Linked DNA regions of Daphnia pulex. The main gene of each other region encodes a partner of the protein of the gene in region 4 in a complex. Links are inferred from orthologs where the notes say so. Each region holds a gene or a part of one and is shown on either strand. Other genes may lie near its edges.

Region 1 (5,072 bases), on a different chromosome or scaffold from region 4:
GATTTCTCCAACATCTGAATTGAAAATTCCATGTTTAACGAAAAAATTTCCATTTCTTTCCCCCAAAAAAAGTCGAGATCGTAGAGGCATCCCAGTCCCGAGCAACACCCGATCGGGTCACGCATACGGCCACGTTTACGGAGGCGCTTACGAAGACGATTACAGCATCTCGCAGCATCAGGCCAGGACGGGTAACGGGAGTGCCAGCAATCGTATCGGCGTCACTTCATCGGCTTCGAGTGGTGGCGGCGGAGTGAACTCTTCAACGGCCGTAGTGGCCCCGTCGGAACGCAATGGAAAGACACCCGGCCGCTTTCAAGATCCAGCTCCAAGAGCCTGGGGCGACGGAAGTGTTCCCCGTTACGTGGCATCTCCCACTCACGCTGCTGCCGCCGCTGCTACTGCCACATCGCCGTCCGCTGGAACTCCGGGAGGCGGAACCCCGTCCGCTCCATCCGCCGCCGACTACGAGAGACCTCCGCCGTATTACTATCCAGGACCAGCGTGAGTATTTTATTGATAAAAAGTCAGTCCTCTCAGCCTCTCGAGAGAGAGCAGCTGTGTGTCTACTCTCTTCAAGTTGATGATGGATTCTGAATGATTCTCGTCTTTTGATTGCAGCGATAAGTGAAAAGCTTTGATGATCTCGTCCTCGATTCCATCAACGTCCCGAATGACGTCTATCCTCCATTCTCTCCCCCCCGGCTGCTGCTTCCATTTCGAGTTGTTGTTTTTCGTCGCTGGATTGATGACGGAGGGGAAGCGGAAGTACTGATTGTTTTCCTCCACTTGTTCTTTTTTTCCATTTCGCGTGTCGTCGTGTTGCCGCGCATCTGCGCGCGCACACAGACGTCAAATGTTGTGTGTGTGTGTGTGTATACAATCCTCGGCGGAGCGATCGCGCGTGTGTGTGTATGTAAGAGTGAACGTGTTTGTACATTATTCATGAGTTTCAGAGTTTCATCTCTCCTCTCATCTCTTCAACAAAACAACAAAAAAAGTCCCGACTTGCACATGGATGCACTCCTCGCCCCCGGCCCCCCCCCCCTTTTATGTGATTTTTCTTGGCAATTTGTCTCTTTAAACGTGTGATGACATGTGCATTTGCTCCTACTTTATATGTGTATAACAGGATATAAAGGCGTGTTTGAGCATTCGAAACACGTACGTTTCTCTCTTGTCTCTGGTTGAACTCCCTGTCTATCTTTTTGGGTGGGGACTTGGGCCGCTGTTTCAAACTTTTTTCTTCTTCGTCGTCATCATCAGACCAAAGCCCAGTATAGTAAGGGATTTTCAATTCTTCCCTTTCTCTCTCTCTTACTTACTCACGGTTCGGTACTTTTGATGAGCAATTGAGGAGGAAGCAAAAAGTCTTTGTTGTTGTTGTTGTTGTTGATGAAATCTCTCTCTCTCTTTATAATATGATTCAATCAATACTTTTTCAATACCTTCTCAAACCAAACAGAAAAGAGTCAATCTCTTTTGTTGTTTTTTTAAAGCTCGGAGTAATCGAATCTCGATAAGTGTTTATTCTTATTCCCTCGTAAAAAAAAAAGAAATTTTGAAGAAAAAATGCCATTCAATTATTGAGGGGAGGAAACTAAATTTTTGATTGTTTGTTATACATGTCACCCGTTCCATATTTCTTCGTCTATCCGCTGTCATTAATTGAATCTTCCACCCCCCCTTTTTTGTATTATGTATAACAACACACAAAAGCTGCTGCCGCTGCTGGCGAACTTTTGAGAATTTCCGTCTCTTTTCACAGCTGGGACGGGCTAAAAAATTCAAAATTTTTTTTTTTTAAACATCAAACTACGATTTCATTCGTGTTTCTTCTTTTCTCCCCTGATTTTTGGCCGTCTTTTGAATTGTAAAATGACTCCCGCGGAATCTCGTCATTTAAGAGAATCATTCGCTCTTTGATGTCTTTAACCTCCCCCGCCACCCACCATTAATGGTGTCGTCTACTTAGTTGAAAACAAAATTAAAATAAAGAAATACACTCATTTCAAAGTGTTGCTCATATCCCTGTAGCCGTGTTCATTTATTTTGTAAATTTATAATTGATTTTGTCTTAAAAAATAGGCAAAGTGGATGATACTTTTTCCGGTCCACTGATTGATGAATCGTAGCCTAAACTTTGGAAATCTTTAAAAGTGGTGTGGAATTCGACCGTGACGTAGCCCAGAGTTTCCATTCGGAGAACTATACGAGAGAAAACAAATTGAATCAACTTTTGAAATAAAGTTATATAATTGAATAATAACTTGGTGGAGTATTACCGTCACGGCCTTCGTTGAGGGCAATAGTTTTGGGATCAATCAATTCAGGACGACGCCCGGTAAACCAACTGGTCCATTTGTGCAGAAGAGATTGTGACTGCGGCCGATAGATAGCCAGTGTTCTTGTGTAATGCCCAGCACAGATGGGCAAAACGGTGGAACCATAGCCGTATGCGACGTCATCGTTACCCAGCTCGTCGGGTCCATAAAGACTGACGATCATTCTAGGCCATCCGTGGGGATTCGTGCTCTTCCACGACGATTGTAAAGGAAAATTCCACACCAATTCTCGGCCCCCAGATGACTTTTGAATGGCTAGCTGACTTAACCCTTCTTCAATACCCTGTGCGTCAAACGAAGAGCTGCAAAGTCATTTTTCTACAATAAAAAAAAAAACAAACAAAGTTGACTGTGTATCTAGTTACGTGGCAGAAGATCCAGTCAGCTCCGTGGTGATAGCAAGTTTTGACGTAAAGTTGGGAATTGAGCGGGAATTCTCCGTGCCGGATTTGGCCTTGGACGGAATAATAAAAGCTGGTTGCTATCAGAGGAGTAGATGTGACGGGTCCATTTGAAGTTGCTACCGATGTCATTCTAAATTAAGATGTGCTTGACTGGAAAAAAACGTTAAGAATTCTCTACATCACAACAATATACACCGACTGCTGGCTCGTTTGTTTCGATTGTCGGGCTGACTCGTTGCCATGGTTACGTCTAATATATGCCGCCGCCCCTATGACTACGTAGCGAAATAAATGGGGGCATTATTCAATTTTTCTGCATTTTAGCGATTGTATCTTTCTATTCAGTAATGAAATGAATGAGTTAACTTGTATGATGAATAAGTCATCAAAATAATAAAGAGAATAAGTGAAAGTCAAAATTTTGTAGACTCGTCTCGGCGCCCAGTCAAAGGGAATTGCTCAATCTGGTATCAGTTACCGCACAAACTACACACAATAGCCAACATTGTTCTATTTCCTATATGGTTTTTATTTACAGTTGTCGCCTTTCACTGATAACGCAATTTCAATGAATAAACCACCTTTGATTGAATAGTAACCAAGTAGACTTATAGGCTCATCTTACCCTCCCAGCGTTGTTTGCTCAGTTAAAGTTCAATAAAAAGCTAAATTTTAAAAATTAAAAATAAGAAAAAATATAATAGAATCGTGAAATTTATTTTATACCTTTATTAAGTATCTTGCTCGGGTGACAAAACAATTACAAGGCATAATGCAGGCTAGACAATGGGTTCGAAGTGGTAGAAATGAAAGTTAAAATCCATCGTCTAGCCCTGCCAGATGGGATTTAGATAGAAACAATTTGTATCTCAATTTTTCATTCATATTCGGCTATCAAAACCATCATATAGACACCAGCTAACAAGGCAGCGATTTCCATTAAAGTTTGTGAGAATTTGCTGTTTTCTAAAAGCTCAGGAATGACAGAAACGGTGGCAATGTAAATGAATCCACCGGCTGTGAACGGAAGGATCCAGGCAGTAGCAGCAGCACCGATTCCTTCTGCTAATAAAGAAACTGCACATCCAGTAAGAGCTCCCACTGCTGTAATAAGCTGCAAAAAGATAGCCTGTCCAATAGAAAGTGGAGAATTAAGATTCCTGTTACTTTGAGATTGTCGGAGCGTTTGAAATTACTTTTTTGCGATCACAGCCTGACTGAATGAGAATGGCGAAATCCCCGATCTCGTGGGGAACTTCGTGCAACAAAACTGTGACTGTTGTTACGATTCCTGTACTTCTTCCAGCCAAAAATGACGCACCAATAGCCAAGCCATCAGTGAAGTTGTGGGTAAAATCCGCAGCCAGGTTCAAATATCCAGCTACCTTGATGTCTCCTAAAGAAATGGAATAATACAACAGATTTAATGACATACTACCAAAAAATAAACTAAATATTTACCAGAGGGTTTGGCAACCTCCTTGGTTTTCTTTTCCTTCTTTTCTTTGGCTTTTCCGTCTTTCGCATCTTTTGCATCAGTTGTTTTATCCTTCTTGGGTTCAGCATGACTGTGGCTGTGACCTTGGCCACCTTTAAGAATTCTAACAAACTTTTCAACAGCAAGGAAGGCAATAATGCCGCAGAGAACCCAAAGTCCAACAGTCATGTCGTGCCCATGAGAATGACCCTCTCCATGAGAATGTCCATGAGAATGCGAATGAGGTTCCTCATCTTCAGAATGAGCCATCAATGCATGCGGAATCAAATGTAGGAAAGCATCACCAAGAAGTCCACCGGAAGCAAAGCTAAGTAAAACTTTTAACAAGGGCTGTCGTTCAGGGCTGCTGTCAATGGGAATGAAAAAAAGCACAATGAACGGTGCTACACTAATGATTAGAGTGGAACCAATGGCTTCTGTCCATAAGGCAGCAGTTGTCCTTTTGGGAGCTTCAACATTTTCTGTGTGATGGTCATGATGATGATCATGTAAGTGTTCATCATGATCATGTGAGTGTCCGTGATGTTCGTGCGAATGCCCATGGTGATGTTCCTTTTCTATTTTCTTGGCTGGGGGTGGAGGAGGTTTCGGAATATTCGCTTCCTTGGAATACTTAAATGAAGGCCGCTCTTCTACATGATCGTGCGAGTGTCCATGATGATCATGTGAATGTCCGTGATGGTCGTGAGAGTGAGAATGGCAAAACTGTGGAAGTGTCAAAAAAATTCCTACCAAGAGCAGAAAACTGCAGAGTTTTACGACGAACCTTCGGTCAAGCATTTTGACAGACCGAATGAAAGCGCTTCAAGTCTGACGTGTTAAACA
Region 2 (4,022 bases), on a different chromosome or scaffold from region 4:
TACTGGCTTACTGCCTTTGAAAGCTTCCATGTTAGTAGTATCAGATTGATTGATCTAAAGATTGAAAATTGAAAAAAAAAAAGATTACAAATAAATCTTGCTATTTTAGTATTTTTCCTATTCAAACAGTAAAATGGAAAAAAAAACGGGAAATTTAACAATGGAAAAGTCATTTTCTTGATTCTGTACCTAATCTTTTTTTGAGAAATAATATATATATATATTTTTAAACTAAATGTCCAGCTGCCTGTTGGTTCTGCCACTACTGGTGCTGTTGCTCCGGAGACTGTGAAGGGACTGAACCTCTCTTCTGCCGACCTTCTTTATATAGTGCGTAGGGCGCACGCCGAGAAGCAAAGCAACAATGCTCTCGTTTCATATTCGGGTTACCCAATAACGCCGCAAGCTTATATAACACTCAATCAGTCCGCATTTGATAGATCTCGTTTAATAGAAAGTGAACAGCAACCAAAAAAATAGGTGATTAAGGTGTAGCTAGAGCAAATTAGATAAAAAGTGTCGAGGAAAGTTTGGCGGGAAAAAACGCTAAATTTGATGCAAGTGCATTGAACTGCAGTTCCGAATAAGTGAACGCCTCACATATAGGGAACCCTGTCACGTAGACCAAGAACATTGGTATCCTCTTCCTTTATCGTCTCGCTGTATGCAATTATCAGATTTTTTTTTTCCCCCGGCCAAAAATGTCAATCGAATATACGAAATATATTGAGGAGCGCGGGGGCAGCAGCGCGAAAGACTTTAACAAGAATTCAATCGCCCATAGAGAGTGCCTTGATGAATCTTTGATGAAAATGCCATTTATTTTCCACTCCCGACCCACCCAAGCCGACGGCGGGACTTGATGCATCTACGGATCGATTGCTTCTGTGAGAGAGTAGATTGGATCAAACGACTCGAACGCTAAAAGCTGATCTCATGTTCATTCATCGAGCGTTGAGAACTGCAACACGGTGCCCTCAAGGGGCACTGTAGAAGGTTTGAATCGATCTACTTTCCCCCCCTCCCCACCCACGATCCATTCAACTTATGGGGCAAGTTGCGCAACAAGATTTATCTATCGGTTGTTTTTACTATCAGCTTGTGAATAATGCCCATCAAAAATTGTTTGCGTATGTGCAGCACCGACGACACAATATACTGTACAAACTACAAACTGATGATCGATGGCCACACTTTGGACGTTCAATCAATTACATTAACAGATTTCATCAGAATCCATCAACATTGATTGGATATGAAATAAGTGACAATAATTTCAAATAGCATTTCAAATTACACAAAGTTCCATAGATCAATCGCTATAAAAAAATTACTAAAATTATAAGCCATTAAAGCCAAACTTGTACAAATTTATGGTTAATTGGTTATATAGAGCAAAACTTGTACAAGTTTATGGTTATATAGAGCAAAACTTGTACAAGTTTGGCTAATAAAACTATTGCTTGTGATGAAGTGATGCAAATATTGAAATGACACCTGCCTTTTAAATCGAGCAAGGTTGGAGACAGATCTGCTACTGTTGAAAGACTAGGTCAAGGCTTCCATACCATCCACATGGAAACTGCAAATATTTCAACATAAAATAGATTATAATATTTTTGAAAGTAAAATTGTGCAACAAAATCCAAATGGTTGAAACAAATATATATACTTACTTGAGAGATTGTGACGGTTCAATGAACATGTGTGCCAATTTAAACTTGCAATGAAGTGAAATAAAGATCTTTGAAAGCCAGGAAACTTTAAAAGTTAGCCAACACACAAAAAAGATCTTGTTAATATCCAAACAAAAATATTCTGAGAAATTTGTAGGAAAAAAAAACTGGTCCAACTTTTAAACTCTCAATTCAGTACAACGAACGCCACTAGTTATTTCTAGGTTGAAACTAATACTACTATTACTGTTCTCGCTTTATTGAGGGTTCTACATGTAATAAGATAAGATCAAAATCTTTGTTGGATAAGTTATACAAAAGGAAAACCGGATTCAAATCGTGTCTCTTAAAAAAACAACAAAACTATCTTGACAAACAAGCAGACGACTTTGCCATTGTCATAGTAACTAGATCACCCATGGCAACCTTTTGTTTGTTTTCTTTTCGAGTAGTTGGCGTCTCTCTCATATTAGTAGTGGGATGGAAAAAGGGATATGGCAGAACTACATTTAATCGGGCAAATCATCGGCGGAACAGAGTTTTCCGAGAAATCAATTTGCTGTCGCTGGCAATTATCTTCAGGTAGGTGCCAATCGGCTTTGACGTGCGCTTTCTCTCTTTAAATGTGATCGGGCTCGTTAACGTTTTGAATTGTGAAACATCACAGGTGAAAATTGGCGTGTTCTAGAAGGAGCCACTGAAGGCCAGACGCAACTTGACACACCACAAATCGGTTCTGTGAGCAGCTGGAATCATCCACTGGACGTGCACTGGGCTACTCGAGGTCTTCAAGGCTGGCCGCAAATTCACCTACAGATTTACCACCTGGACGCTTACTCACGAACCAATTTGATAGGCTACGCATCTGCATCCATTCCTACACGTCCCGGCATCCACTACATCGACGCTCCGGCCTGGAGACCTTTAGGTTTTTATTTTTTCTTCGTTCCCTTTGTAAAAAGTAAAACCTGTCCGTTTAGGAGTTCAGAGTGATCAATTCTGGTTTTTTAAAAGGTACATTCACTGAGGAGTTGATGCGTCATTTCATTGGCGGTGGAGTCGAGTTGGCTGACGCAGAGCGAATCCAAAACGGAGCCGATCGATCCCGTTTGAGAACTGAAGCCACCGGAAGAGTCTACTTGGAAATAGGATTAGTCTTCCGCGATTTCAAAAAGTTTGGCATCGAGTACTAGACGTCAAAAGAAAATGGCCAAGTTACCCACCCTTCAGCTGCTATTCGTGATTCTACAATTTGCCCTGCTCATCTCCAAAACTTTCGTCTTTACCCAGTCCGCGACGCAAAGTACAGCAGTCGATCAATCTGAAAGTAATAACCAAACCGACTTGAATCGAAAAAACCAGTCGAGCACCGATTCGACGACGGCGGCGACACCTATGTCAGAGAATTTAACCAATTCCTTATCAACAGCAGATATAAATCTAGATGAGAATATTTTCCTTTATCTCAACACCGAGTCGTCGTCGGAATCCATTCCGACAACGACCGTCGCTCCCGAACAACCGGAATCGGATCCGTTCGATTACAATTTGTTCTTCTGCACTTGCGATTTGATTGGCGGAGAGTGTGACGTCAACTGCTGCTGCGATCCCGACTGCAGCCAGGACGACCTCCGCCTATTAAATGGCTGCTGGTCGCCGCCCAGTTCGTATTTCGACCGTTACTATTGCTCGCCGGATCCTGATCGTTACGGACTCGTATGGAACAATACGCCGGAATTCCGCGTCCAGTGGAGTTCTCGCAGCGGAATGTTCTGCATCGTCACAGACAACGTCCCTAAAAAGAGATTGTTCGAAGATCAAGCTCCCGTTACCGAAGATGAGCTTTTCAAGCACATCTCGCCCAAATTGTCCGGCAGATGGAACGATCCGGAGAGCCAAGAACCCAGTGCCGGATTGGAACAATGGATTTATCAGCCGTACTACAAGCAAGGGTCGCCCATCTTCACTCTCCATATCAACGGGATCGTTAGCGTCTTGAGTAATTGCCTGAAATTCATTTTTTTTTAAATTGAATTATTGATGCGAATTTGTTTTAATTGCAATTTCATTTGTCAGATTTACCGCGTTCGCTCAATAGCGCTTCGTGCAACACGGCCCAAACGGTCCATTTCCTGGAATCTGATAACGATTACCAGTGCAGTCTGCCGGGCGAGGATCGATGCCGTCCAACGATTCGTCTTGAAGAATGGCTGGCCAATTTAGCTGTCTTCCGGCTTCCGTCTTATTCGGTCTCTTTCAACGGGAACGGCAATAGCAGCGCCCGATGGGGCGACATGGACAAGTTGGCGCCGGTGGTTGTTAGAATCTGCGAGAACTCTTATTCCG
Region 3 (4,832 bases), on a different chromosome or scaffold from region 4:
ATTCATTTTTTTAAGAAAGAAAAAAAAAACCATTTCTAAATATATATTTTAGTCCAATATATAATTACCTACGGGGAATTGTGAGTCTCTACGTCAACAACTTTATGGGGTATAGTATTTATTTGTGTATCGCTGCTATGCAGCCTTTAAAGATAGCCCCCCCCCAACAACTCTGAACACAAATGACGTACAGTGTCCCAAATGAATTATCTGGCGTAGGATAACTTGACCACTATTTCTCGCTGGTCTAAATATACTCACGTGTGTTGTTGTTAGTAAATACCCTGGTGAATTCCGATAACACTTATGTAATTTTCCATTTTTTTTGTGAATTTTTATCAGTAATTAGCAGTTTATCTTCGTTTTACTGAATTCGCCAGTTGCAGTGAATTAACGAATATTATTTGTTGACTTTTTGAGTCTAAAAATCATCTCTGGTGAATTACGAAAAAATGTTGCGTAATATTTTTGTTTCTATGAGCATTTGGACAGTTTGATGTCGTTGAATTGAAATGGCCCAGCTTCATCGGAAGATTTCATCTCCTGGCAGTTGTTTTTCAATGACATTCAAGTTCACAATGTACACATAAAAACGGCCCGTGTGGGAATAAGTTCTGTTGAACTTTGTTTATGCGTACACACACGGCCGTCACACAAGGTTTTTAAAACGTAACGTTTAGACATTTATAATGAAACAGTTTACGACTTTTGGCATTTGACTTTAAAATGACAATGGCCAAATTATTCCCACAACTGGGAATAAACTCGAATCGCAATTTGGAAAAAATAAAAGTCAGAATAAGAGAAGAGAAATAAAAGTTGACTCTCAGATGAAATTGTCCTATGCGATTTCAACTTAAAATCAATTGGCGATTCCAATGAAATAAAATTCATTTGTGTCATCAGTCACGTAGGCTGATGACGTTTCGCCAGTTTAATGGACTGACCTTTTTTTTCAGGTAAATTGACGAAAAGATTTCGGTCCAAAATGACGTGTTGGAACACGTCACAACTCGTTTCCGCCCACCTCAACGACCATTTTCTTTTTCATTTCTTTTCCCACGTTCCTCCCACACCCTTCTAATTAAAGGACTTGTTAATTTCGCAAGTGGATAAACGTCCGACAAGGTGAATGGGAAAGGGGGAGAACTCTGATAGTGTGTGCATGCTGCACAGTCATCGTTTGGACATTTTGGAATTTCCTATACATGAAAGAATTAGAAATATCAAAACCCCCGTGGGAAATTTCGAAAAAAAGTCACGACCTCGCGGACACCAAGTTCACTGGCCGGCCGGCCGTCAAATCGCCCAGCAAGGTGATCACCCCCTTAAAAAAAAAATGTATTACTCAATCAATGACAAAAATAATCAATTTTCGCAATTTTGTGTGTATTAAATTGGGGAATTTCCCCACCAAAATGTCTCAGGTGAGTGTGTCTGTGCTCCGGCCTGATCCATCAATCAATTACACCTGTAGATCTAAATGTTTTGGAATTGCTAATCGTGTTGATTAAACGAATTAAAAGGGGCGACAAAAGAAGAAGAAGAAGAAGAAGAAAAAAAATGGTTATATACGACAGAAGGGGAGAAAAGCAGGTCAAGGTATAACATCAACAGGTCAGAGGCATCGAGCTGCTGCTGCTGCTGGTATACGTCTCCGAGTCCTTCAGATTCTTCTTCTTCTTCTTGTATAAGACGAAAAAAAGATTTCCCCCAAAACTCGTGGTGACCTCGTCGAGTGTAGTGATGCCGATGACCTGTCGAATTGTTTTATTTGTGTGCGACACAAAACAGAAAACAAAAAGGGGAAATAACAAGCTCTTGAGACGATATCTTTTCACACCCTCTCCCTATCTTCGTTTTTCTGTCCAAACACCATTTGGATGTTCTTCTTCTTCTTCTTCTTCTGTGGCGATCCTGTGAGATTCTCTGACTCATCGGACCTCCTTTCACTTATTTGGTTGCTGCTTATTTGTTGAGTATAGTTTAGTGTGGTAGTAGTCGTAGTAGTCGGAGTCTGTGTGTGTGTGTGTTTCATTCCGCCATGTCAAGGTCGCTGGTCACTCGCCAGAAAAAAGAAGAAAAAACCCCAACAAAATTCCAGCGAGCGGTTCGCGTGCATATAGATACTACCAAAAGAGTTCTCTCTCTCTCTTTTTCATTTTCATTTTCATCTCTCTCTCTGTCTATCTGATTCTTTTTCGTCGTCTCACACAGAACCCTGATGCGCTTTTATAACGAAAGAAAAACCTGTCGACACGAGGTGGAAATTAAAGTAAGAGAGAGAGAGAGAGAGACGTAGAGGTATAGTTTCTCTCTCGCCTGGCTCAAGGTTTCTAAAATTGGCGAAGGCGGGCCACGTTACGAAGTGTGGCGAACGAGACACACAGCTGGACTGCCATCAGGAGACTGGAGATGGACAAGGCGACAATCTCCAGGATCTGGCTCAGGCTGAGTGCCACGATCAGGATGATTGTCACAAGTGGCAGCTGGACCAGGAGTGTGGTGAACCAGAAGGTGGACAGCTCTGCCACTTGCTCGCTCAGGTTGCCAGACATGCCCAAGTAGATCCTGGTGGCTTCCGTCACACAGCAGGCAGAGACTCCAATTCCAAGAAGGAGATACGAGAACCAGCCAAAACATTGGTGCTGCCAAATGTAGCAAGAGATGATGAGTGAAATGTAAGACAATGACTTTTTCTTCGTATTATGTAAATACCTTTGCCACAAATGATGCCAGGATGATCGCCAGCCACACTGGGTAGTAGACCAAGTTGAAGTATAGTGACATTTGCAGTACCAAACTTGATTGGACATCATAAACTTTGCTCCATAAAACAATCAAACGTTTAGCATAAAGTACGAGACGCAATAGATAGAACTTGAATGATTTGAGAAGAATTGAAGTTACCTATGTCACTTTGACCCGATACGAATGAGAAATCTTGAGGTATATCCGACAGACCTGGAAATATTCTATCGCTGAAAGAATCCACAACATTTTGAACTGATTGTCTTCCCATTATTTCATCGCTTTCGACGATGGCTTTTGGCTATGAACGAAATGACAGCCGATTGTTTTGGGCATTTCAAACTGGGCGCCATGGCAACGACTCTAGCAGAACAACTCAGCTGTTTTCATTCGTGACTTTCTCCCGTCACAGTATTACATGTGCTGTGTGGTACACGTACAAACTTGTTTTGTGAATAAAATACTTGGCGATTATATTAGAGCAAGTAAGCTGTGAAAAAACTTGTAGGATCGATGGCTGGAAAATTATTTTTCATCTTTCTTGTCCAGGTTTCACAATCCAAACATGGGAAACTGGCAACTGGAAGCAGCCAAAATGGGGATGTACATGATTTTCCCAGTTGGTTGTTTCTATTACTTTAACCAGGCAGAGTATTTTGAAGATTGGATGATCAATCTGAGGAGAGAAATGTACCCTGCCGAAAGCAGGGTGAACAAAAAGATGTTTGAGGACACCATTCGCCAAATGAAGGAGAAAGAGGAACGGGAATATCTCAGACTACTTGAGGAGAAGGAAAGAAAAAATAATGCCTAAGTTGTCTGTTTCTTAATTAGATTTATGTATACAAGAGTCAATTTCAACTAAATTTATTTGATTTCTTTCGTCATCGTGCAGGTTTGATTTCTACTTATCTCTTCAATTCTAGACTATAACATTCCCAACTCCAGTATCTGCTTCCACTATCTGGTGGACTAAACATCTTTAAGCAGTTCAAAAGATCCTTGAAGAAACAAAACAAAATTGAGGACTGCGTGTGTGATCAGGGCAGTGAACTCGCTGTAGCATAAGCCTTTCCCAATGCAGCATCATCTCTGTAGCAGGTCAGGATTAGAAAATCAAATGACTCCAAACAAATAGCAAGTCTTGTTAGTTTGACAGATTTGCGACCTTCAAGTTGTGTATTTGGAAATCTTTGGCGCATTCACTACAAACAAGGCGTCGTAATGCAATCGAGTTTTTTGGACATTTATGCTTCAGATGGGAATGTATCATTTTCAAGGTTGACAACTGCTCCTTCCTATTTGTTGGCTTGAAACAAAATCGCTGTGCGCTCGGTGCAAACTTGGACGTTCAAAGAACCTTTTCACTAGAATTCGCAATCGGTTATCTCAGATTGACTTATGGTCGGTCCGCCTCCCCTTCATCTCTGAGCTAGCGAAAAAGGGAATAGTCTTGTTTATTCACATCAATAGAATATTAATTCATTATCTAGTGCGCTCCGATTTTGATTGTGTGTTCCCAAAATGTTCGAGTTGGATGGGCGAAGAACTGCACTATGGACACTACGAGTACGGTTGATTGCGTGTAAACTTGACACGGTTAAAAGATGGCCATAAAAGGAGAAAGGGGAAAGCGCTGGATATTTGTAAACGTTGCAACAAAGCAGTATGTCAATGCTAGTCGGTCATTGGTAAGCGAAAGAAAACCGGGCCACTGTGTAGAAGGAATAATGAGGGCGAACATCGACAACTGTATATTAAACAAATTTCCATGTATTTTCTTTTGCCATTTAGTAATTTTTCAAAAAGACGATTGTGTTTGTTTCTCTTTTTTTTCTTTCTTTTCCTCACTGATTTTCGTTTTCTCTCGGCTGGTCGGCGACTGCGTCTGCCACTCCCGGAGCACCAGCACCGCCCCAATCGAAACCCCCAGGACGCTCGTCAGGAGCCGGATTGTAAAGAGGGTCTTCAGTGTGCGTGTCGAACAAAAGTTTCCTAGGGGGGGAAAAGAAAAGAAACCGTGAACCCCTTGACCGATCTTTGATGTTTTTCTTTTCGAGAATGCCAAATTGTTGCATACA
Region 4 (3,843 bases):
TGGCTCCATTCATTCATTTTTAAACATCTTTCAAAAAAAAAATAAAAATAAACGGGCGGGTGGGGATTATATTAGTGAGCCTCGATGAAAAACTGGACGATGTGACGCAATTGTGGTCGCCGGAAGAAGACGGCCTTTACGTCGGCTCGCCGCCCAAATGCTCCCGTCGCAGGTGGGAGATTCTCGAACGGCGTCTGGTGACGACGACCAGTCAACAGCAGCAGCAGCAGCAGCAAACCACCAAAACAAAATGGTTCCGCTCCGACGGATCGCTGGCCGTTCTACCTGATCCATTACGCCCTTATCTCATCCGCAACATCATCCCGGTCCTGGATTCTCCAGCCGACCAGTTTCGTCCAATTTACCTTCCCGTATGTTACAGTTACAATTTGTTTTTTTCTTCTCACGCCAATTTTTTAAAAATTAACCCGCGAATTTTTGAATTTCAGAACGGCAAATTAGTCGAGGGTCAAACGACGGCCGGTCCGTTTGCCGAGCGGCAGGTTTATCCTCTGCACGTTTTCATCAGCGGAATAGAGTTCCATCATCACTGGCTGTTTGGCGTCGAAAATGTTCTAGCGTCCCGACTGGGCCGACAGTGGGCCGATTACTCCTCGACCTCGGCCGATTCGGCGGCCATCACCGCCGCCCAAATGGACGTCCTGGCCCGCAAATTGCGGGCCCTCTACCAAGCCCACGACGAGGCCGTCGAACTGGTCGAGCGGCTCCAATTCAACGGAGCAGACGAGGCCGTTATGGCCGCCCAGCTCCAGCGCATCGCTTCCTACCGGTTCGAGAGAAAACAAAAACTCAAAAACTCAAAAATTCGTTTTGGCTGATTTATGACTTTAGGGAGGCCATTGGTTGGACCCGAGGGGACTACTACGCGGCCAGTGGCCGCCGAATAGCATTAGTCCGCTCAATGATGGCCGACTGGAAGCGCTTGAAAGACATGCGCACCAGTCAGGGATTCGCCTGCACCAGCTGTCAACTGTCGGACGGGCCAAAGAAGAAGAGGAAGAATAAGAATAAGAAGAAAATGACAAGTGCTGCTGGTAGACTGGCCGCAGAAGAAGATCAACACGAACAACAACCACCGCCACCGCCGCCACTCGATTGGGATGAAGAGATGGAGCGACAGATGGACGAATCCCGTAGACTCTTCCGCGAGCACGTCCGCTCAGAGTCTGATCGATACAAGCGTCAAAAGGCACAATGGAGGCACAAAAAGTCGACTCAGAGGACGAGTGCAAGTACCAGAAGTACCAGGAGGAGAAAAGTAAATTCTAACAAATCAGAAAAAAGTGGGAGGCGTATGAATGAATAATAGGACGATGAAATTTCATTTTTCATTTTTCCCCCTATTCAATTATAAAATTCCAGGAGATGACGAAGCGATCCGATTCTTCTTCATCTGAAGAAGATGAAGAAGAAGAGGAGAAAAGAGATGAAGAAAAAAGTGAAACTGACGACGAGCCGGAAGCGCCAGTGCAACGTCAATTTGACGAGGAACAGACACGAGCAGAGATCCTCAAAAGAATGCAAGAATCGCTCGTGCCACCTGGTGAGACGATGCCTAACCTTTTGTGGACTCCCAACACTACCGCAAGTCCGTCTGATGTCAGCGACGCTCGGTAGGTGTCTCGTTTTGGTTTTTAAATTTTGGCGCTAAATTTGAATTTGAAATTTTTTAAATCGACAAAGAGAACAGAGGAGGATCGACGCAATCAAGAAATGCGTTTACCAGGTCAAGATTCTAGTCAATCAAGAAGAAATGGCCGTTTCAGACGTCTTCCACTTGGCGGAAGACTTTACGGCGGATGAGATTCAACAGGCCTTTCATCTGTGGATCAGAGACAAACCGCGAAACATTTCCATCCAATTGTTCTACAGAATTCGGAACAATCAGAAAAAATGGAGTTTGCTGGCCGACGTAAACGTCCCCATTCCATCCGCGTAAGGAAAAAAACAAATTTAAAATTTTCATTTCCTAAATATTTTGAAAATTTCTGTATTCTGTACAGAAAGACAAGTTTCGCCGGACAGCCGGAAACGCCATTGAAATTCAAAAGTGGTTTGGTTCAGCAACCCATCGTCGATCTCGCCAGCGTGGGTTGCGGAATCAAACAACCGGGACGGGAAGAAGATGGCGAAATGTGGACGAATGGAACGCTAACAATCAAAACCGGATGGGGGACAGACAATCAGGGCAACGTTATGGCGCCAAACAACATCGATCATTTGCCAACAATCATTTCCGAGCCGTCAGAATGGGTCAATCCCAAAGTGCAACTGGATCCAAACGATCCTGCCAATGCTGAGACGTTGGACAAGATCGAAGTAAACAAATCAAATTAGTTTGAAGGGAATTTCTAACTTGAAAATTAATTCAATTATATTCAGAAAATGAACCGGCTGGAATGGAGGGCCGGCAAAACGGTGGGGGAAGTCATTAAAGAAGACGATGGGGACACATTCTGTTCCAAGGAGCAATTCGATTCCAACGTTCGTTTCCAGCTGCTCCGGCGACGGGCAGATGAAATTAAACCGTTCGGTCATTTGACTATGATACCCAGTCGACCGGATGAAATACCCAATCACTTGATTCACGTAATTTTCTAACACGCCCGTCACCATTTCAAAATTGATTCAGAAAATTAATTCAAACTTTCAGTTGATAGATGGCAGTGCTAAAACGGGTTCGTCATTCGATCGGCTGGAAACGGAAGAGTCCGTCAATCCGCTGGATGCATTAAGGCGAAGGGGTCAGCGAAAATGGCTAGAAATTTACCCAACAGTTGCCGATCGACTATCATCTTCCAGCCAAAAAAGGCTCCAATTAGCCGATTTGGTCATGGAAGATCACATTCCCGACATCAGGTAAAATCAAACTTATCCGCAATTGATAATTCATTCAATCAAACAAAATCGTGTCGTCCATCCAGCACATTTGGCGGCCAGTTGATGCCCGTCTTCTTCAAAGCGCATCGACCTCTACGTCCGGAAAGAAAAGAGCGAAATCCTGTGCCACTTCTGGCCGGCCTGGCCATCCATACGACGGAGCAAGTCAGCCTGAGAGTCAACGTCATCCGAGCGCTCAATTTACCTCATAAAATCGAAAGTACTTGACAAAAATTGAATTCAAAATAATAGCACGATTTTTAGTTTTAAATTTCCCGCCTAAATCAGGAGATTCAATGGTCCACCCGTTTGTCGAAGTGTCTTTCCAAAAATCCAGCGCTCGAACAACAGCTGGAAACGGTACCAGTCCCACCTGGAACCAAGAACTTTGTCTTCCAGTCAAGTATTTAAAAAAAAATACTCTTTTAAAATTCGTTAAATCTAATCAAACAAATCGAATTTGACAGTTTTGCGGAAGGAATTCGTTCACTGGCTTATTTGCAATCCATCCGAGACGATTTGTTCATTCAACTTTTTGACGAGGTTAGGCTACTTAAAAAAATATTTTAAATGGTTAAATTCAACAAGAGATAAACATCGATAAACATTCACAATTTTTTGAACAGGTTGTGGTCGATATTTTGGACGACGACCGTCAAAGGGATGTGAGCGTCCACCAGCGGTACGAGAGGCACTGGCTGGGTGGTTTTAAAATCCCGTTTCAAGTCGTCTGCAAGTGGAGCAAGGTTTAATGTTCTTTTCCTTATAAAAGCAAGTTGAATTCAAATTTGACCTGAATTTTTCAAATGCAAATAGATCGAGGGCACGTTCGCGCTGAATATTCCAATGGTGCCCATCGGCTACGAGTACAACCACTACAATCACGACGGACCACTTCTGACAGTTTTAATTTCAATTCACCCAGCCGTCAGTCCCCCCAGG
Region 5 (5,472 bases), on a different chromosome or scaffold from region 4:
CAAGTACAATAAGGTGGACATGTTATAGAATGCACCTCATATTGACGAAGTATGTTTGATCGAGGTGTACCGTTATAGAATATAGATCGCTCATTTTGCGACATATTCCACCACATTTCTATATCGAGTACGGTTTCCAAGAAATGTCTATCACGCACTTCGTAGTCGAGTTCCCTGAAAGCCTGTTTAAAAATAAGCCTTCATTTGTACAATTCAGTAATATTGTAAAAGGTTGATAAACCTACATGATCCAGGAAAGATGTAAAAAATTCATTCAGCTTGAAAAATAGAGTGCTGGTACCGCTAGACTGATCCAACATTATCAGATCAATTGAAACGGAAAGTAAATAAAAGTAAATAGACGTCACCTGATTCTTTATAAGTTTTCTCCATTTATCTGAAAGAGTCTCGTGGAAGAAAATGGAAAACGTTTGAGTGTCTTGACCCTGAACAAGACCTCGTTGAGCGCACAGATTTTCTTCTTCCCTTTGTAATTGTTGACACATGGTCTGCATGTCGATGTCTGCAAATCCATGCGGCGATCTAAATGCCCGTCAAAAGTAAAATATTTGAATTGTTAATACCAAGAAAGATTTAAAAAGTTAACTGAGAAGATAAGGAACCTTCCGTGAATGTAGAAGCCGTAGCGCGAGTGAATTCGAAGCCAAACTGATATGTTTGAAAGTGTACAGACATCAGTAAATCGTTGGATTTTGTGCTCAACGTAACGTTCGAAGAGCGCGGCATTCAAAATATTTTGCGCTAGGCTGAAGAAGAGATAGGTGGACAAACCAAGCGCTAGGCGCAACACTGTGTTGTAATTTAAAAACGTGTCTGCCATGAAATAAGTAGCTGGAATTTCTAAAGAAAATCGCTCAAACTGGAAGACCTACCAAATGACTGGTGTTTATTTTCACGCTTCATTATAATCACAGCTCACTAATTATACCTTGAGTGTCGATAACACTAGAATGACCTGTATGGATATAGAGCTTTTACGCGCTACTTGAAGTTCGTTCCATTCGTTAGCAACAAAGAACATCCTCCATACGCTAACTATTTCGCCTTTCGTCGGCCTCGGACTCTCCCAGTCAATAAGAAAAATATCGACGTTACATTGTTCTCCGATCATCCATAATACACTAATCGTCTGCAAAGGATCCATAGATACAATCGGATACAATTAAAATGACCTGACTATGAATAGTTCCAATTATTTCAGACCTTTAACGTGAAAGCACTAATGACAAGGTCTTTAATAAACTGTTCTTCTTGCCTTGCAGGAAGACTAACAGTCACTTCCTCTTGTTGTCGAAAGGTCATAAACCAGTAAAAAGTGATGAAGAAAATCACTATTAAAATTACGTTGGCCAATATGTCTGCTCCGTAGACCAACAAGCGAATTAGAGTCTGAAGATCAATTGTTGCTTTATCTGATCTTATGTACCTGGAAATTATTTATTATTAGTGAAAACCCAATCAAAGTTAGCTAATCAAATTATCCAAAGTTGCCAGTACATACCATACGACAATCCTTATCAAAGCATAAAGAGCCCCGAAAGTGCTCAACACGCTCAGTGCAATCTATTGATAAACCAAAAAATTCATTATTGATAACGTGATTGTGAATGCGAGGAACAATGTGATAATTTCTACCTCAAGAGATTTCATAGCTTCATCCATACTAACGGTATTTTTTACAGCGAAATGAATAACGGGTGAATTTCCATTCTCAAGGCTACCAATAGATTCGTAGTTGATTGTTGCATAAGGTAATCGTAATGCTAGTGATTTTTCACCAGACATAACAGAAATTCTAAGAAATGCGTTCAAGTTTCAAAGTTGTTCTCGCTTTTTTTTTATAATGAAAAAACTTACCTAATAGTAAGAGAAGATAGATATCGGACGAAGTCGGTGTTTCCTTCTTGATTACTTCCAGTTGCCGAGTCAAAATTAAAGAACCTCTTTGTGAGTTGCCATCGAGAAATATCTTTATCCTCCTTTGTTCATCAGGTTTTAGTACCGTAGTAATGTTGTATTTTCTGAGCGTATAAACTTACCCTATTACGTTGAACGCCTCCGCGAACAAGGTTCAATATTTTTATTGGAACGTTGATCAATCTTGATTGATTAATTGCCCGATCAACGAAATAAATTTCATAAAAGCGCATATCAGCCATGTTGAAAACTTTCGAATAAACCGAACAGCTGTGATAAATATTGGCATTTCGTTGGATTGGTTTCCAAGTTCCAGTGCAGCACAATGATTTAAAAACCGATTGAAGAGGCTGGATCAATAAATATGTACCATCTAATGCGTATTGTTTAACCATAAAATCCATTTTCTAAAAAAAGTCATTAATGAAAAACTTTTCCTGTTTAGTCCGTAAAAGTTATAGATGCTACTTGATCTTTCAGTATGTTTATCCTGGCGGAGTTTAGTAGATATTCGTTTTGACTATCGTCGTAGTATATTGAATTGCTAAAGCCTCCAGATAATTGTCGATAAAGAGAGCAAGCTGACTGAGAATCGTAGTTGTAATCCGTTAAGACACAGAGATTGATCAGATGTTCGCAGTATTTTCCTCCACCGTGTGCCTTTAAAGAAAAAAAATTGGTGTTTAATAGCACAAACATGGTAAATAATTCCTACCTTGCATTTAATTGCCGTCAATCTAACCCAATTCCGCAAATAATTAGAAATGTAAGGTCTCCCGTGTAAGTTATATGTAAAGATAGTGGGTGTTTCGGGAATCGTGAATAAATCTTTGACGCAAGTTCCGTTCACATCTTCGTATTCACTAGGACAATGACACATGTTCGAACAAGGAACGCACGAAGATTTTGTGTCATCAGGCTGATGCCAAAGCGGGCATTTCAGACATCGTGCGGAGGTAATATTTCCAGTAATTTGAAGGACTGTGATAAAAATTCAGAAATTAATTCTTCTTTACTATACTTAGCAGATAGGACCTAGGTAAATGTGCGTTTTTCATACCTTTGATGTCGTACGGTTCACACGTGAGATTGCTTTTTAGACACATTTCTGACTGAATTGATTGGTTACAGCGTAAGCATTCAATTGCTTTGGACTTTTCATTAAATTCAGGGTAGTAGCCAAAGCCACACTCACAACTCAAACGGTCATCGGAAGATATTTGAAAGACCCCGCAACCTTTGCACTTATGTGATATCGAATCAAAGTAGGAGGAACGATTGCAGCTTTCAGGAAACGAAGACAATATGACATCGTAAGCCTCCACCTTCTTTAAGATGAAAAAAAGCAGGTAATGAGCAACTAACACGATCATCGTCACTTTAAATTTTTGTTTGTTTTGTAAAGCATATTTGTTACCTAGCAACCACTCCCCAGCAATGAGCCAAGTCAGCCAACCAACAATATCAGAAAAAACATCGTTTCTTTCATGAATCAATCTGGCAACGCCCACAACTGTCCCATACTGCCATAGTGCCATACATTTGAAGTTTGATCAGTCGAGCTGTCGGCTGCTTGCGTTCTTGCTTTCTTAATTCTGTGAAATTTGCAAGCAAAAACTTGTTTCTCGTGATTAAGAAGTGATTTAAAAAGTTCTGTAAACATGTTTCAAGCAAGAACGATAAATGCTGAACACAAAGACCTGATTCATGATGTAGCTTATGATTTTTATGGGCGTCGATTGGCTACTTGTTCCTCCGACCAGAGTGTTAAAGTAAATTGTTAGAAATCGAAAAAAATTTCTTGTGTTAACTAAATTGCGGAATTATCTTTCAAGGTTTTTGACCTGGATGAAAATGATGAATGGAGATTGACTGCTGATTGGAAGACTCATGCTGGTTCTGTTTGGAAAGTAAATTGGGCTCATCCTGAATTTGGTCAAATTTTAGCCACTTGCTCATTTGACAGAACAGCTGCAATTTGGGAAGAAATTGGTTTGTAAAATTCTTTACAATTTTAACAACTTAAATTAGTTACTAAATGCATATCCAGTTGGTGAATCAGGGAATTCAACGCAGAGTAAAAACCAAAGTCATTGGGTGAAAAGGACAAGTTTGGTAGATTCAAGAACCAATGTGACTGACATCAAATTTGCTCCAAAACACATGGGACTATTGTTAGCTATGTGTTCAGCTGATGGAGGAGTAAGTTCTAAGATATATTTATTACATTGTTAAATATATAAACCAGATGAAAATGTCAATTTTATAACATAATAGGTTAGAATATATGAAGCCCCAGACATTATGAACCTAAGTCAATGGAGTTTGCAGCAAGAAATAACACTGAAAATGCCTGTGTCTTGTCTATCATGGAATCCGTCATTTTCTCGTCTCCATCCTCCAATGTTGGCAGTTGGTAGTGATGACACGAATGTCGCCTCTGGTGGAAAAGTGTTTCTGTTTGAGTACAGTGAAAGCTCCCATCGCTGGTCTAAAGCTGAAACTATCAACACAATAGTCGACCCAGTGCATGACATAGCATTTGCACCTAACTTGGGAAGAAGTTACCACATTCTAGGAATTGCAAGCAAAGATGTTAGAATAGTTATTCTTAAACCACCTCAGTAAGTAGTTAAAATATTTTAAGGATGGAATAAGAATAAATTTATAATTTTTTTTATTAAAGGAAAGATGCTTATGCAGCAGCTTGTCCAACTTCCCAGTTGGAGATACTGCAGGCAGCCCAATTTGATGACCATCATTCTACTGTTTGGAGAATCTCTTGGAACATTACTGGAACTATTCTAGCTTCTTCAGGAGATGACGGCTGTTTAAGAATGTGGAAAGGCAAGAAATCAAGAAATATTTAATGCCATGTCTGGCCTATTAAATCAGCTGTTTTTACTGTCTATTTCCACAGCCAACTATTTGCAGAATTGGAAATGCATTGCCGTGTTGAAAGGTGATGGATCGGGTGTAAGTCCAGAAGACGGAACTGATCGTGATAAAACCGTTTCTGCAGCAACTGCTCGTTACTTTAAACTTGGCGCAATCAGCAATCCAAATCAAGTACCCTGGCACTAACATTTACTTCCCAATTTTTATGATAATAATATGTCTCTTCCAATCCACACAAATAACTGGGAGTTTTCATTTCTGGAGAAACCCATGGTCTCGAAAATGGAAAGTTGTTCTGAAGAAATAAATGAAATGATATGGAGTTTTAAACTATGTCATTTTTTCATGTCACATTCGTTTAGGGTCAAGTTGTTATAAAAACACTTTTCTCTAGTAGAGTAGCTATTTGTTTTTTTGTTAGGAGGGAAATGATTCAAATGATTTGATCATTTTCAGCTGCATTACTGCATACATTTACACATCTCTAAGGACATTTACAACAATAAACTGTAAGGTCATTTTTGTGATTTTTGACAAAAACTGAATATTACAAAACTCACCTGTTAGATTTTTGCAAACGTTTGTTTTTGTCTACCTCCAGTTTAAAAGTCAGTAGTTCCGTAAATATTATCAGTA

Evidence for each region.
Region 1: coiled-coil and C2 domain-containing protein 2A-like (region 4) and B9 domain-containing protein 1-like share a complex: the UniProt entries of both Homo sapiens proteins name them as parts of the tectonic-like complex. The link is inferred for Daphnia pulex from reciprocal best matches to the Homo sapiens genes CC2D2A and B9D1.
Region 2: coiled-coil and C2 domain-containing protein 2A-like (region 4) and B9 domain-containing protein 2-like share a complex: the UniProt entries of both Homo sapiens proteins name them as parts of the tectonic-like complex. The link is inferred for Daphnia pulex from reciprocal best matches to the Homo sapiens genes CC2D2A and B9D2.
Region 3: coiled-coil and C2 domain-containing protein 2A-like (region 4) and transmembrane protein 17B-like share a complex: the UniProt entries of both Homo sapiens proteins name them as parts of the tectonic-like complex. The link is inferred for Daphnia pulex from reciprocal best matches to the Homo sapiens genes CC2D2A and TMEM17.
Region 5: coiled-coil and C2 domain-containing protein 2A-like (region 4) and meckelin-like share a complex: the UniProt entries of both Homo sapiens proteins name them as parts of the tectonic-like complex. The link is inferred for Daphnia pulex from reciprocal best matches to the Homo sapiens genes CC2D2A and TMEM67.

Annotation. Positions count from the first base shown.
Region 1 is NC_060017.1:7,404,850-7,409,921, forward strand, and holds B9 domain-containing protein 1-like, read right to left. Parts: upstream 3,346-5,072; 5' UTR 2,879-3,345; coding exon 2,711-2,878; intron 2,629-2,710; coding exon 2,286-2,628; intron 2,209-2,285; coding exon 2,078-2,208; 3' UTR 1,220-2,077; downstream 1-1,219. Other genes in the region: prominin-like protein, read left to right, coding at 73-504, 622-631; protein catecholamines up-like, read right to left, coding at 3,627-3,878, 3,946-4,145, 4,211-5,027. UniProt on the Homo sapiens protein: Component of the tectonic-like complex, a complex localized at the transition zone of primary cilia and acting as a barrier that prevents diffusion of transmembrane proteins between the cilia and plasma membranes.
Region 2 is NC_060024.1:10,638,262-10,642,283, forward strand, and holds B9 domain-containing protein 2-like, read left to right. Parts: upstream 1-2,129; 5' UTR 2,130-2,170; coding exon 2,171-2,258; intron 2,259-2,343; coding exon 2,344-2,604; intron 2,605-2,690; coding exon 2,691-2,869; downstream 2,870-4,022. Other genes in the region: GTP cyclohydrolase 1-like, read right to left, coding at 1-30; tectonic-3-like, read left to right, coding at 2,883-3,675, 3,753-4,022. UniProt on the Homo sapiens protein: Component of the tectonic-like complex, a complex localized at the transition zone of primary cilia and acting as a barrier that prevents diffusion of transmembrane proteins between the cilia and plasma membranes.
Region 3 is NC_060027.1:837,939-842,770, reverse strand, and holds transmembrane protein 17B-like, read right to left. Parts: upstream 3,047-4,832; 5' UTR 3,023-3,046; coding exon 2,911-3,022; intron 2,823-2,910; coding exon 2,719-2,822; intron 2,649-2,718; coding exon 2,337-2,648; 3' UTR 1,369-2,336; downstream 1-1,368. Other genes in the region: derlin-2-like, read right to left, coding at 4,599-4,746, 4,832-4,832. UniProt on the Homo sapiens protein: Transmembrane component of the tectonic-like complex, a complex localized at the transition zone of primary cilia and acting as a barrier that prevents diffusion of transmembrane proteins between the cilia and plasma membranes.
Region 4 is NC_060026.1:1,917,446-1,921,288, forward strand, and holds part of coiled-coil and C2 domain-containing protein 2A-like, read left to right. Parts: intron 1-75; coding exon 76-371; intron 372-449; coding exon 450-790; intron 791-852; coding exon 853-1,279; intron 1,280-1,383; coding exon 1,384-1,634; intron 1,635-1,704; coding exon 1,705-1,956; intron 1,957-2,024; coding exon 2,025-2,340; intron 2,341-2,403; coding exon 2,404-2,610; intron 2,611-2,674; coding exon 2,675-2,880; intron 2,881-2,945; coding exon 2,946-3,121; intron 3,122-3,189; coding exon 3,190-3,304; intron 3,305-3,368; coding exon 3,369-3,444; intron 3,445-3,527; coding exon 3,528-3,647; intron 3,648-3,717; coding exon 3,718-3,843. UniProt on the Homo sapiens protein: Component of the tectonic-like complex, a complex localized at the transition zone of primary cilia and acting as a barrier that prevents diffusion of transmembrane proteins between the cilia and plasma membranes.
Region 5 is NC_060020.1:7,747,441-7,752,912, forward strand, and holds the start of meckelin-like, read right to left. Parts: upstream 3,346-5,472; 5' UTR 3,312-3,345; coding exon 2,999-3,311; intron 2,920-2,998; coding exon 2,654-2,919; intron 2,599-2,653; coding exon 2,407-2,598; intron 2,346-2,406; coding exon 2,061-2,345; intron 2,001-2,060; coding exon 1,879-2,000; intron 1,817-1,878; coding exon 1,657-1,816; intron 1,585-1,656; coding exon 1,523-1,584; intron 1,448-1,522; coding exon 1,225-1,447; intron 1,151-1,224; coding exon 950-1,150; intron 890-949; coding exon 624-889; intron 544-623; coding exon 369-543; intron 309-368; coding exon 246-308; intron 183-245; coding exon 71-182; intron 1-70. Other genes in the region: nucleoporin SEH1-like, read left to right, coding at 3,600-3,710, 3,774-3,930, 3,989-4,140, 4,216-4,562, 4,625-4,785, 4,859-5,022. UniProt on the Homo sapiens protein: Required for ciliary structure and function. Part of the tectonic-like complex which is required for tissue-specific ciliogenesis and may regulate ciliary membrane composition.